4 linked regions of the Tribolium castaneum genome follow. The protein of the gene in region 1 binds, or shares a complex with, the protein of each later gene. Links are inferred from orthologs where the notes say so. Each region holds a gene or a part of one and is shown in the gene's direction. Other genes may lie near its edges. The genes, in order: transmembrane protein 231, transmembrane protein 17, B9 domain-containing protein 2 and B9 domain-containing protein 1.

Region 1 (3,466 bases):
TTTAGAATAAGAAAAACGTTGTAATCTATACTCGAAAAGCTTAAAATAACTGTTTTGTAATAAATAATAATTATTAAAATTGACCTTTTCAATTGCTTTACTATACTCGTAGTTCAAATTTCATTTATTTTGTTATGGTTTCTTAGACAGATTTGAATCAATTTAACCATTATTAAGTATATAAAGGTTATCTTAATTTTTTTTAACGATAAAAATATGTTTTAAGTCACATCAGAGCAACTGTTGTATTCAACTAATTAGAAGTTCTAAGAATTATAAAAATTTTGATAAATTGTATTAGTCTGCGCTAATTAAATGTCGTAACTAATTCCACTATAATTTTAATAAATTAAACTAGATATAGTATTTATTAATCATGTAGTATTAAATTATTGCCATCTTTTTTTATTTAAATACATTTCCAAATAAAGAATATAAATTGTTAAAGTATTTTATAAATGGTGAAAAATTGTGACCTAGTTTTACGATTAATATCTACCGAATAATTAATTTTCTTGGAAAACCAAGTATTACACATTTTTTCTTCTTCAAGTGTATTTAACTGGAAAAACCAAATAACGCAAGAATTAAGTATGTCATTGCCAATATATAGATATCGTTACTCATCAAGTCATCATTCATCAACCACCAATTTGCCCGGTATCTTTTGATGAAATCTGAAGAATTAAATTAAAAAATAGTAGAAGAAAATGTTTTCTCGAGCAAATTTGCGGATTTTTGAACTAAAAATATTTGCGTTTTACGTGAATTATTGCAATTATATAGTTTGTAATGTTGGTTTAGTTAAAAAATTTGTGTTAAAATATCTGCAAAACACGGTCAGTACCTGGGGCCTCGTGGCCCAGTGGTATAAGCACCACTTACAACGGGGGAGGTCGGGGGTTCGAACCCGGATCAGGTGTAACAATTTTTCTATGAAAAAAAGTGTAGAAAAGGTAAGGAAACAACACGTAAACAAAAATAAGAGATTGAGAGAACACATAGGCGTATAAAAGTAAAGCGGAGCTTAAAACTGAGAGAAATAAAAAAATAATGCGGCAAAAATGTAAAAGAACGTAAAGGCGCCAAATTGTAAACGTACTTTTTGTTTTGAGAGAAAAAGAAATGAACGTAAAGGTTACTTTTATTTGTTTATAACATAAACTGCAGAGGAAATCGATGTACAAAATTAAGGAAATTACACGTTTTAAAGAAAACAGAGAAAATTAAACAAAATCAGGATTTTTTTAATATTCTCATAATGGCCGTTTTTTTTGTTTCCGTTACCTTTTTTGGCAGTTCGGTCATTGCCCTAGCATTTTCAAATTACCCACACAGTCGTCGTCATGACAACCTAATTGTTTGTATTCAAAGTTGACAGGTAAACAAATAAAAAATTCGACCAAAAACCACAAGACGTAATTTTTGTGATGTTAATGATGGTAGTTTTAGAAGTTTTTACAAAGAATATAAAAATTTCTTATAAAAGTACTCTTCTATCAAAAGCATCGGTGCTAGCCCTAATTTTTGGGGTCTTATCGCTTGTGTTACCATTTATTTTTGCATACAAAAGCAAGGGTAAGAAATTAATTTTAATAAATTAGATAGTTCTGATAGCAAATTTTCAGGCTTGTGGTTAAAAAGAGACACTTTTTATGAACAACCGGATGTAAAATTTCGAGGAGAATACATTTTTGTTGCTACTACGAATAATTACAATAAGTCTGTTATAACGTGTAGTAATTTACCCCACTTTGATAATGTATTGCGGCCTTTAGATACTTGTTCAGTCATCAAGGTTTTTTTTTTCAGTTTTGTAACTATTAATTTACATATTGTGCCTTTTAGGTTCGTGAAACTGACAGAAATTTTGATGGTAAAACAGAAGAATTAGATTTGTCTCTCCAAGTTAATCTTCCAGTTAATACTCACCTCACGTCTTTTTGCATAATCATTCCATTTAATTATAAATTACAAGTAAGAAATTCGAATGTGTTCTTTTTTCTATATTTCTGTTTTTTTCCAATAGGTTTGTCCTCTTGAAATGCAGACTGCCATTATTTTTCAAGAATTGTTACCATTTTATATATCGAAGTATTCATTGGTGGCTAATGTGGTTGTGACCCAAACTAGCCCCTTAATTTGCCACAGAAAAAACACCAATACGTTATTTAATTATCCTGTGATTGTGGATAATGGGGATTTAAATAACTATGACATAAATACCATTATCACAAACTTTTCAAAGAGAAACAGTATAAGTTAAAGAATCTACAAAGCAATAACTAACATATTTTTTCAGTATCCACATCATTGAGAGACGTCTATAAAAGTTTTTCTCCTGGAAAAACTCAAAATTTCGTATTAAACTTAAATATAGAATTTCCAGAAGACAGGATATACTACAAGCCGGGCTTTTGGCAAGTACTGAAGTGGGCCTGGATCCAGTACCTCTCACTTTACATAATAATCTCATGGATAATTGCAAAAATAAAGCACTATATTTTTAGCAGGAGATTAATACTGTTTTTTGAAGAAAATCCGGTGAAGAAAAAACAATAAAAATTTAACAAACTTTATTATCATCGTTTTATTTACAACGTCAAGTCTAGTGGCTCTGAAGACGAACTAGAAGACGAAACTGCGTTCCTGTTGTCTTCCAGAACAATTGCTGTTTGTAGGAGATCGTCCACTTGAACCAGGGTGGTGAAACCTAAATGCACCAAGCCAAGTATAGGCGCCAAATTCAAAATCGACTGTAGTTCGGCTTGCTATCGCAGATGTCGCACACACGTATAGTCAATTTTAGCGAAGCTACCTATAATATCGGCAGAAATTAACAGTGGACCTGTGACAGTTGCCATTGTGTAAATCGCCATTTTGTGCTTGGTTTGTTTGGTGTTCGCCCTCGGCTTTGTTTTATGTGAAATTAGTACTGTTTTGTGGTTTTTTTCGTGTGTGTGCTTTTTTGAACTTTTTTATTGTGGGAATATAAATAATTTGATGGATCAATCATTAGTTTATAGTTATCGTATCGTGTATATTGACTAGTGATAATAAATTTTTATTACAAGTTTATTGTCTTTATTTATTCTCATATTTTATTTTTCGTATTCTTTGTAAATATTCAGCAACAATAGTTGTCTAACATCAGAAAGTGTTATTAGCAACTATTGTTGTGAATATTTACAAACAATACGAAAAATGCAATCAAACTTTAAAAGAAAAGTAACTACGGGCAATTCAAATCGCCCGCCGATAACGCTTAGTACGCGCTGGCAACAATAGATGTGCTAGTGACACTTTCGCTCTATCCGGACAAGGACAGATGCGTTTCTGTAAAACCTGTTATTCTGTGCACTTGAACAAATAAGTACCGATATTCATATTTCCCCGAATCATTCTAAAAAAAAGTAATAAAAAACTGACAGGATGGCTTACAATTGCAAAACGCACCTCCACCATC
Region 2 (3,041 bases), on another chromosome or scaffold:
GTTGCCTTTTCTATTTTTTCTTCTCCAGGGCTGGACGTAATTTTCATGTATTCCTCCAAATCTAAACTGTTTTGAAAAAGTCCTTTCATAGGCTTCATAATATCAACATCCAACTGCATTAATCTATCAACAGCAGTTTCAAACGATTTAAATATATCACTAAAATATCAGTCAATTTAGTTCATAAAAAAGACGCCTAACACTTACAAAATTTCTCGATTTTCTTCTATCTTTAAATAAAAAGTTTTAATATAAAATAAATTGCTCAACATGTAGCGTAATTTCGACCTAAGAATTACCACCATAAGCACAGGCATTATGTCCTTGTTGTCAATAATGGGAATTTCAATTTCCTTATCTGTAATTATTAACAATTAAAAAAACCTAGTACATACAATAAATCAAGATGCAACTTACCTGACCTTTCTGAAATTACTGAAACCATCGCTGTCTTTATTTCCGCAAATACTAAATCGTACGTACTGCACAAACAGTTCATTTTCTCGTTGGGACTTTTATATTTGTCTATAACCGACAATTCCACAACCTAAAAAAAACATTACACGCATCAGTTAAAAAAATATTTTCAATTACGGCAGCACATAACGGGATACTATAATTATCATCAGCGCCAAATTCCCTTGCCGAGACGTTAATTTTGCACAAAAATGAGCACCGTTCGAAGAAATTTTCATCTTCTCGGAACAAATTCGCTTTAATGCATGGCACGACCAAATCGTGGATTTTATCAAAAATAATCCTTGAAATCACCAATGAAAGAACAAGTACAACAAATTGCCTATAAATTATTACCACTGGAAGGCCGCAAAGTTCCTGGGATTGTTTTGTTCCGGGAATATTTCTGTGTATAATTTGTAAACCAAGTCAGTTATTTTTGGTACCAGATCTGGATAATCCCCATGGTTGGGTAAATCCCACGAAACTATTTCTTCATCAATGTAGTCAAAAATGTTTTCGTGTGTTGATTTCACAAGCAGTTCTTCAGCTCTAAAATTATTTTAGCAATAAGTTTTCAGTCCAGTGACTCAACAATGACCATGCTATTTTTTATTTGTGATAATATAAAACTTTGTTTAAATTGTAAACTAGTAGCTAATAAATGAAACAATTCAAAAAAGATTAAAGGTAATAAATACGAAAGGTAAGTGGTGCTAAAATTAAAAATACTCACTGTTTTAAGTCTCGTATTTCCATATTTATTATTTCTGGTAGCTTGTATCACATTGTTTTAGGTATGTGTACTCAACAATAATGAACGACCTTCGTTGCTTACGTAATAACATTTTATCTGATAACTTTTCGGATAACCACTTGTTATTGTTTGAAGATTTTCCTCCGATACATATCTGTGATCATTTTTTTGTTAGCTTAAAACTTATGAGAATAACATCAATCGGACAGAAAGAATAAAGTTAAAAAAAATGCAAAAATAAACACCTGCAGTGGTCAATACCAGCAAATGTGGGGGATTTGATTACGGTTTCCAAGCAACTCAACCCCAAGTTAATACAAACAAAACCAGATTATCAATTTCAGGACATAAATGTCCAACAATCTGTTAACAATCAGAACATTAAAAATAATCTTGACCTTGTTGTTTGCTCAAAATATTCATTATGGATTGGAAGGAAACTGTGACGTCAGTGTCTGATAAAGTGTTTCCAGGCCTTTCGCGTAAAATCGATAATGTTGTTTATGGTAAAAACATGCCTGGTTAATTACGATTCCTTAAGGCTTTTTAGGTAACGAAGTTATGTCAAATTTGCCGCTGCAGATGTCGCTCTATTTCAACGTGATTTTCGCGCCATTTTGGATGGCCATTCTTGTGCTTTATTTAAGGAATACAGTAAGACTAACTACGAAAAACTACTAAATGACTCGAAATACCAATTCCAGTATCTCTGCTTTAGCGAACTGTACAAGTTTATTATCATAACGGTCATTTCGACAGTTTTCCTTTTGGAAATGTTAAGACTCTATTTAGGGTACAAGGGAAATCTTGAGGATAAAGTAAGTTAATGATAATAATTGAGTCGGCAGATGCAACCAATATTACACATGTGCACAGTTTGTTGAATATCACGGCCACTTTGCGGACGATTTAAATAAATAAGATTGTAGATTCCTGAACTGGCGGGCTTTTGGATGTTGTCCTTACTGCTCCAGTTTCCTCTACAAGGTCTTCTGTTATTCAATCCTAACTTCAAATTGCATGTTATAGAAATAATAGTGCAAAGTATCATGTTCGTGATGTTATGCATTCAGTTGGTGTCAAGCTATTGTGCTTTGAAATTTACGGCAGCGCAACAAGCAATTTACTTTCGCATTATGAAATTAAGATCAGATGTGACGCTTGCAGATGTACAAGAACGCTACCGAGTGAATAAAAAATGAATCTATACCAAACGTTTTATTTACAACTGGAAGATCAACAAATATAAAATTTCTAAGTACAACAACTAGACCCTATCATTCGTCTCGAGATCATGCTCTTGGTAGAAATCCACCAGCTTCTGAACACATGAGGACATCCTGAGCGTGAACTGTCTCATATCACGCAAAACGTGGTCCTCCTTGTGGTGCTTCTCGAGCGCGAGTTGGTAGAAAAGCTGTTGCCGGTTTGGGGTAAACCGTGACAAAATCTACAACTTGTTGGGATAAGCCACAATTTTTGAAAAAATGACGAAAGTACATTAAACAACTGAGACCCCAACCAGCCGTGGTACCGCTCCAGAGTCTCCTTGTACGCGTTTTTCACAAATATGGACAAATCCTGCGTGTTATTATTATTGTCGGAGTCATCGATCACAGACTGGAAGAAGCGCGAAATGAAATGAAGGGCTCTGAAACGATTTATGCATAAGTCTCCCAAAAAGGGGCTTTTTACCGCCGCAGCCACTGCAAAGCGTCCACAACAAGCAGTTGGCCCACATTTTTTTGTTTAAGTATCATGTCCTCTAGAAACTCGTAATTTTCCCGGTCTTCCTCATACTTGACTGTGATTTTCTGAAACAGAAAGT
Region 3 (4,322 bases), on another chromosome or scaffold:
AAGTTTCTAGTGATTCTGGTTGGTTTTTTGCGACATGCACGGAGACGGCTGGTGAAAGTGTAGCCGCTTGATACTCGTGTGCAGCCGCTTGACACTCGTTTACAGACGGTTGGTTTGGGCTTATTTTGGTTACTTAGAAGAATATTAGATGCCTTGATATCGGAGTGCATGTAGCCTTTACTATGGATGTATTCCAAAACATCAATTATTTGGAGGGATATTGTGAGCACTGTTTTAAGGTTTAGGATTTTCTTCTCTTGGAGGACTTTTTCCAAGTCTCTGTCAAATTTCGGGAGGATTAAGAAACGATACTTTTCACCCTTGTGGACGTGGGAACCTGACGCCACATAGTGGGGCATTCCGAGGGAACTTATATTCTTTGCTCGCTTCCACTCTTCAACTAGAAACGATTCCAATTATGCGATTTTTCCGCAAATTATTGACTTACTCATTTCGCGTTTAGCAATCCTTAGGTAACAATTGACTTCGACAAAAAGCGGCCCGTTTTTATGGCTTTCCACCTTAGCCACGTACTGACAATCAGTCTTGACCTCTTTGGTGAGGACATCAGAGGCCAGGTAGATCTCCCCAAAGCCCCCAACACCCACAGGTTTCCCCAATTTCCACTGCTTCCCTGTGATGTCTTTTAGGTACTCCCCATGTCTTAAATCAAAGGAGTTGCTGCAAGTCTTCTTTTTGGGGGGATCATTCTCCGAAGAACTGTTGTTAGCACGTCTCGGCATTATTTTAACGAAAGTGTGAAGTCTATAAACAATCTACAACATGGAGGCTTGAGATTTTCGCTCGGTTTCACTTGAGATACCTTACCCTGCCTAATTCATGTGATTACCCAAACAGAGGACCCTTCAAGAAGAAACGTTTTTTTTATGTAAATAACAACAAGATTTCAAAATCAAACGACATTTCCCCAATAACCTTATCATTTACATAACGACAACAGCAAGGTCAAGTGGCACGTCCCGGTTGTAAACAATAAGAAACAATACTTACTTTTCATACAACAAGTTAGAAAAGTGGTAAAAACTGTTATTTTGCCAAAAATCAAAAGGTGAAAGAAACGTCACTGACAATTTTCACGGCCATCTTCACGTTTCGCTCAATTGAAACGCCTCCTGATTTGTCGATAGCGCGCACGCGCACTGCAATTTCTCACTGCTTTTGCGCACAAGTCATTAAATAAAAAACGGGTTTTTGCGAAAAGAAAATTAAATTTGGGAAAAAGACTACCAACAGCCTTGTTGGCAACTGATGAATCACTCATTTTGTTGTCTATAACAACAATAATTGCAAAGAATCCAATTTGTTGTATCAAGTCATGGGAGGCTTATTTTTTATTCCTACACAAAACTGACCCCCGCCCTTAAAATATTTGAAAATCGTTGCTAGGCAACCGGAAAACAGTATTGTAAACAAAAATATTGTTTTTATGTTTGGCATTTTCTTCAGGTGGTTCTTTTATTTCAGTTTTGTTTGTTGTGAAAACAGTTATCATTTGATGGTATTCTGGCCTTATGGCAGAAGTGCACATAATTGGGCAAATAACTGAAGCCAAAGATTTTCCAAAGCAGAATTTGTTCTGTAAATGGTATCTCCAAGTAGGTGAGGTTCTCTTGACTTCTTTTCTTGATTTTTGTATCAAACAGACGCTTATTTTGCCTTTTCGATAAGTATTTCTATCGTTTTAAGACTAAAATCGACTGCTCTGTCAGTCAGTTCATGTTTATTTTTATTATTATAAAATTTTAAGGTAATAACTGGAAAGTTATTTCTGGGAAGAAGGAAGGTCAAACTCAAGTAACATCACCTCAGTTTGGTAAAGTTTGCAAGTGGTCTTATCCAATAGATATTCACCTAGCCACTGCTGGACTTCAAGGTTTATAATTTTTCAAAAAAGTCGTTTATTTTTTTAATGAGTCCGAATTTTAGGTTGGCCTAAGATTTATTTGCAAGTTTATCACTTAGATTGGCTAGGCCGGAGTCACATTTTCGGTTACGGTTTCATAACAGTTCCTACAACTCCCGGGACCCATATTTTGGACTGCTACACTTGGAGACCATTTGGTACAATAAAAGATCGTTTTGTGCAGTATTTTCTGGGAGGTGGGTATCAAATAAAAAATCCAGACTTGATCTTCTCTTCGGGGGAACGTTATAAACTCTCTACGGAGGCTATGGGAGTTGTTTCATTTGAACTGTGTGTTGTACTTAGGTAATAATAAGGCACAAAACAGTAATAATGACGAGTCCTTGTTCAGAAATTTCAGCAATTATGGAGTGGAATATGAGTAAACTACTTAACAATTTACCGACTGTTTTAATACTGTGCGTTTTGTTAAAAAGCACAAGTTTAGAAAATGTGACCACAACCCAGTCAAGTGAAACAAATGTTAAAAAGGGCACAACGTCACCAATTGTGTCCACAACCGCTGTTCCAACAACTACTTGCAAAGCCAACAGTTCTTGTTTTGCAAATTCAACTAATAATTCAGTAACTGTTCCTCCAACTCAACAAACAACGGCTTTAGTCACAACCCCGACTCCCGCGAGCTTTTTTCATTTTCATATAAAAACATCGGAACGATCAAGCAAGAATTTGTGTATTTGTGATTTAACTGTAAGTATCTATATGTTCCCTAATAAATTATATTTTTACGCATGATTTTAGATCGACTACTGTGATCTGAATTGCTGTTGCGACAAAGACTGTTCCTTAGAAAATAAACTTGTGTTTGATCATTGTGAAGAAGATTTCCGTCAATATGATACTAGATATTGCCAATACGTAAAACATATTTACGTTAATAAGACACCTCATGAGTTTCAAATTAACCAAAACGGACTATTTTGTATTGTGCGTAGTAATTTACCAGCAAGTTACATAGTCCAAAGAAAGCAAGTAAGATAAAGTCTTAAAAAAATCATAAAAATAATTTTACAACTTTAATTCCAGCCGTTGAAGTCATTACAAGATGCTCAATTCGAGAGACAAAATAAATTTAATTGGCCAAAGCCTACACATGAAGATAGTCAAATATTCAATTATTTCAACTATACTTATGGAAAACCTTTATTGATTTTAAGAAATAACACAATTGAAAACTTACGTTAGTCTCCAAATCTTAAATCAATAATCTAAATAACCATTTTTCAATCGTAGAATTTCTTAAGAGTTTTGTGGTAACTAGTTGCGTGGTCAAAGAAGATATAAAATATTTAATTGACGTCAAGAGCAGCTGTAGTCATACGAACATATCCGCAGATAATTATTATCTAAAAGCCGACACATTTTTCAGAAACATGACAATAATTGCAAATCCTGGTTTGCTAAATGTGTCTAAACACAAAAATTTTCTCAAGGTAGGTACTATACTTTTATGGAAACCAAACAGACTTATTCCTTTCCAGAATTGTACAAAAGATGTTTGTCTAAATGTTCGGCCAAAAATATGCAACGAAGACTTTGAAGACTGCGTCCAAATATCGCCAAACGACACGAGAATAAAATCGAGCTGCAAAGTTAACATTGCAAACAACGAACTGTTTTGTATTAATTTAGTACAAAACGTTAGATACAATTTTTATCATAATGGTAGCAACGGTTTGATAAAAGTCGAACTTTACTTGATTCTGAAAAGTGCCACTTTTTATTACCACCAGGAAATGGAGTTTTCCCAAACGATTGAAGTTAATTTTATTTGGTGGAACCATACTTTGAACTATTCATCGCACCTTAGTGGAAATCCGGGATATTTAGTTGGCAAGCCAATCTTAATCGCAAATATCGTTTCTATAAATGTTCCTATAAATAATACGAACTCGACTAGCAATGCAACAAGTTACAAACAACAATTACAGCTATACCGAAATCCTTCGGATTTTACCGAAAATTTCCTCGTTTTGCCGTTTGTAAATTCAGAGGGTGTGTGCGTTCTAAGTAAACACAAATATACTCCGATTGAGTTCGGTTATAATATGTATCTAAGATGCGAAATTAATGATTATATTTGGATCAAAAATCTCTCGGCGAAAAATGTATGCATTGCCGTACAGAACACAGTATTCAAATACTGGGCCTTAAAAGTAACAAATGGTACATTAAGTAATAGAGTGATTGCACTGTTCGGTAACGCATACATTTACAATATTGGCGATTGGCTGAGACCAATGTTTGAAAACGATCTTAATGACATTCTAAATCGAACTTGGGGCGAATTTGACCTTCAAAATAAATCTCTCAAATGTGGTAACATCACAACATTACTTATAACGGAGATTTTTCATGCTAGAGTTGATTTCGACGA
Region 4 (3,002 bases), on another chromosome or scaffold:
TAGTGTTTAATTGCATTTTCCCTGTTTTATTTTTACATTTAAAAATTGTTGACATAACTTCAAACCTGACTTTTACGACACAGGGTGTTCCAAACTGAAAAACAAACCACTCTTCATGGTTAAAAAACACATTTACTTAAAATAATTTTTGAAAAAACGTGACAAAATAAAATATTTTAATGATAGAAGTCACAGCTAGAGGGCGTGTTGAGTTGTTGTCAGTGGTTGTGGTTTTTGAGGCGGGTGCGTCGATTGTGGCTGCAGTGACATTTTCCCGCACATGATACCAACCAAATGGGAACAAAACTTATTCTGAAAGCACACTAAATTTGCTCATGCGTTCCGTGTCAGGATAGTCGGTTTAGTGATACTGCCATTTCGGTGGTGCTAAGTACAATGTCACAATAAGTCAGTTTAATGTTAGAACAAATTTACGTAATTAAAAATATTTTACATATTAATGTGAAACTTATGTAATGGTAAAATAGCTGTCTAAATTTAGATTTTTCTAGGGATAATAATTTTTACCAAAACAGCTTCGATTGTACACAGTTTTTATAATCAAACAGCTGTTTTTACAAGCCGGACGTGAGGTGATGGGTGGCTTTGAGGCACTCGTCGCTTCGTTCGTGTTTCAATTTTTTGTACATTATTATTATATTCATCGTATTGATAAAGGAATAACTGCCAAAGATTCATGATTTGATGCTTGGAATAAGACTGGAAGTTCGAATGCATGTCTCATTTAATATTTCATGTAACTTTACGATAAATGTCAATGTATCTTTATCAAAAAACTTATTTTTAAGTTACGGTTTTTCACGTACATCGACACAGGCCTTGCCTTCTTTCGACTTCTCTTCTAAGTTACGCTTCATTATTTTGTACATTACCGCATCCACATGTAAAAATTGTACCGCATTATTTATTTTTACTGTCTAGAATTATTTTACGTTATGAACTGTATCTATAGTGAAGTTATGTAAGTAAATATCCATTTTCAGAACTTGTGTTTTATTTTACATTAAAAATCCCACCAGATGGCGCTTAAAACTTACTTATTACATTCAAATACCTCCCTGCGTCCCTGATACTTTTGATAATTTTGACTATTTTTGGTAAAATTTGGAAAGTATTAGGAGTGGTATTAGGATCACAGGAACACGAAGAGGTGTCCGGCTTTAAGAGGTATAAAATTTTGCTAAAATTTGGAGTTGTCAGGTGTTTCAAACATTCCGAGTTAAAAATTCTGGCAAATTTTGAAATTTCTCTTGGTACCAGGATCACAGAAACGCAAAAAGTAATTCAAATTTTATACTACAAAAATTCCACCTGATGGCGCTCCAAACCTTACAGGTTTCTGTAATTTTGTGGTTCGAAATTTCTAAAGACCTCTTTGCGTTCCTGTTATCCTGGTCCTAGTAATATTTTCAAAATTTAGCATTTATTTACTGCTTCGAGTTAGAAAACATTTGCCAAAACCCAATTTTCCATTTTCTTTGATGATATAGATGACATAAGTTACCATAGCAACCACAATACAAACAGCCCCCACGATGTCCGACGGCACCTTTCTGGTGTCTTTAACGGGCCAGATTGAGTCTGTCGACATTTTAGCCCCCTCGGGCTCCGCGTGGCACTGCAAGTACGAGTTTGTGACAGGCCCGGACTGGAAAATAATCGGGGGGCTCGAGGCCGGCGTGTCCCAAACCTCCAACGTTGTCGTGAACGGAGCTTTAGTAGTGTTCAACCTTCCGATTGAGATTAATTTCAAATCGACGAATCTTTACGGATGTGAGTTCGAAATTTTGCATTTTGAGGCGTTCAATTGTGGTTGCAGGGCCCCAAATTGTGGTTAGTGTGTACCGGGGGGTGCAGCTGGAGGGGTACGGGCGGGCGCACATGCCGCTGAGGCCGGGGATGCACCGGGTGGACGTGGCTTTGGGGAAGCCCCAAGCCAGCTCGTTGTTGGGGTACATGGGGGCGTTTTTCGGGTACCAGCCCGAGTTGTTGCAACCGAAAATGTTGGCAACTACTGCCGGAAATCACTGTATGTTTGTCACAACACGCAAAGATTTCTAGTTCTAGTTTTGGTTTCAGTAATTCAGATGTTGAGTCATGGAGAAGTGAGGATTTCGGTGAATGTCGTAATGCAAGGTGTGAGGAGTCTTGGATATGATTTCGGGAGAGGAAAAGACTAATTTTTGTAACGATTTGGGTCAATAAATATTTTTTTACGCACAGCTTACTTGATTAATGAAGGAATGGTTTATAATTTAATTTAATATAAATATTCGGTTTCAATTGGTTTTCTGTCATCAAGCGATCAAATTAATTTATAATCGAGTTATCCATGAACTTGAATTCCTATGTCATGCGATTGTAATGCTTACATAAGGTGACCAACTATAGAACACCAAAAATATAATTATGTTTTTCAAAAAGTTGGCCGAGATACTAAGTTTATTTTTTATATTAATAAACAGCAAAACAAAAGAAAAAAAATTACAATTCAAATAAACTAAAACGACATTAAGTCAACAAAAGAATGCTTCAATATTTTTTTTATTAACATTATTATTGTATCCAACGTCGCATGTATATTTTTCTATTCTTTATCTACCTTTCTCTTTCACTTGTCTTTTTTAACCTTTATTTCCTTCTTCCTTTTGTTTTTTTACTGATTTAATCAATTTTCTACCTCCTGTCTTGTATAGTCTGCTATTTTTTAATTATATCAGTTTTCTGTACCTCTTTTTCAGTTTAGCTTGTCCTTTCTCTCTTTTATATTATCTTTATTTTCTATATTCTGTTTTCTGTTCTTTACGACATCCAATAAGCATTGGTAAGTATATTTCTTTCTTTATCCACCTTGTATATTCTCTATCATTTTTCTTTTCTTAACTTCTATTTTCTTTCTTCTTTAACCGACTTTTTATCTCTGATTTGCTCAATTTTCTGTTTTCTGTCTTAAATAGTCTGCTAATTCTTATCTTATCTGT

The links.
Region 2: transmembrane protein 231 (region 1) and transmembrane protein 17 share a complex: the UniProt entries of both Homo sapiens proteins name them as parts of the tectonic-like complex. The link is inferred for Tribolium castaneum from reciprocal best matches to the Homo sapiens genes TMEM231 and TMEM17.
Region 3: transmembrane protein 231 (region 1) and B9 domain-containing protein 2 share a complex: the UniProt entries of both Homo sapiens proteins name them as parts of the tectonic-like complex. The link is inferred for Tribolium castaneum from reciprocal best matches to the Homo sapiens genes TMEM231 and B9D2.
Region 4: transmembrane protein 231 (region 1) and B9 domain-containing protein 1 share a complex: the UniProt entries of both Homo sapiens proteins name them as parts of the tectonic-like complex. The link is inferred for Tribolium castaneum from reciprocal best matches to the Homo sapiens genes TMEM231 and B9D1.

Annotation. Positions count from the first base shown.
Region 1 is NC_087398.1:6,906,430-6,909,895, reverse strand, and holds transmembrane protein 231, read left to right. Parts: upstream 1-1,347; 5' UTR 1,348-1,430; coding exon 1,431-1,578; intron 1,579-1,628; coding exon 1,629-1,798; intron 1,799-1,848; coding exon 1,849-1,977; intron 1,978-2,029; coding exon 2,030-2,255; intron 2,256-2,302; coding exon 2,303-2,562; 3' UTR 2,563-2,594; downstream 2,595-3,466. Other genes in the region: mitochondrial import inner membrane translocase subunit Tim21, read right to left, coding at 2,595-2,699, 3,368-3,403, 3,457-3,466. UniProt on the Homo sapiens protein: Transmembrane component of the tectonic-like complex, a complex localized at the transition zone of primary cilia and acting as a barrier that prevents diffusion of transmembrane proteins between the cilia and plasma membranes.
Region 2 is NC_087395.1:14,181,669-14,184,709, forward strand, and holds transmembrane protein 17, read left to right. Parts: upstream 1-1,585; 5' UTR 1,586-1,637; coding exon 1,638-1,719; intron 1,720-1,763; coding exon 1,764-1,867; intron 1,868-1,917; coding exon 1,918-2,031; intron 2,032-2,142; coding exon 2,143-2,415; 3' UTR 2,416-2,422; downstream 2,423-3,041. Other genes in the region: ankyrin repeat domain-containing protein 27, read right to left, coding at 1-159, 208-358, 418-547, 595-760, 814-1,008, 1,193-1,215; glycolipid transfer protein, read right to left, coding at 2,481-2,663, 2,714-2,864, 2,909-3,027. UniProt on the Homo sapiens protein: Transmembrane component of the tectonic-like complex, a complex localized at the transition zone of primary cilia and acting as a barrier that prevents diffusion of transmembrane proteins between the cilia and plasma membranes.
Region 3 is NC_087394.1:33,825,072-33,829,393, forward strand, and holds the start of B9 domain-containing protein 2, read left to right. Parts: upstream 1-1,293; 5' UTR 1,294-1,532; coding exon 1,533-1,620; intron 1,621-1,768; coding exon 1,769-1,894; intron 1,895-1,947; coding exon 1,948-2,230; intron 2,231-2,276; coding exon 2,277-2,310; 3' UTR 2,311-2,635; intron 2,636-2,686; 3' UTR 2,687-2,917; intron 2,918-2,971; 3' UTR 2,972-3,125; intron 3,126-3,178; 3' UTR 3,179-3,378; intron 3,379-3,426; 3' UTR 3,427-4,322. Other genes in the region: serine/threonine-protein kinase VRK1, read right to left, coding at 1-400, 449-743. UniProt on the Homo sapiens protein: Component of the tectonic-like complex, a complex localized at the transition zone of primary cilia and acting as a barrier that prevents diffusion of transmembrane proteins between the cilia and plasma membranes.
Region 4 is NC_087399.1:9,020,535-9,023,536, reverse strand, and holds B9 domain-containing protein 1, read left to right. Parts: upstream 1-1,400; 5' UTR 1,401-1,556; coding exon 1,557-1,794; intron 1,795-1,840; coding exon 1,841-2,050; intron 2,051-2,100; coding exon 2,101-2,201; 3' UTR 2,202-2,243; downstream 2,244-3,002. UniProt on the Homo sapiens protein: Component of the tectonic-like complex, a complex localized at the transition zone of primary cilia and acting as a barrier that prevents diffusion of transmembrane proteins between the cilia and plasma membranes.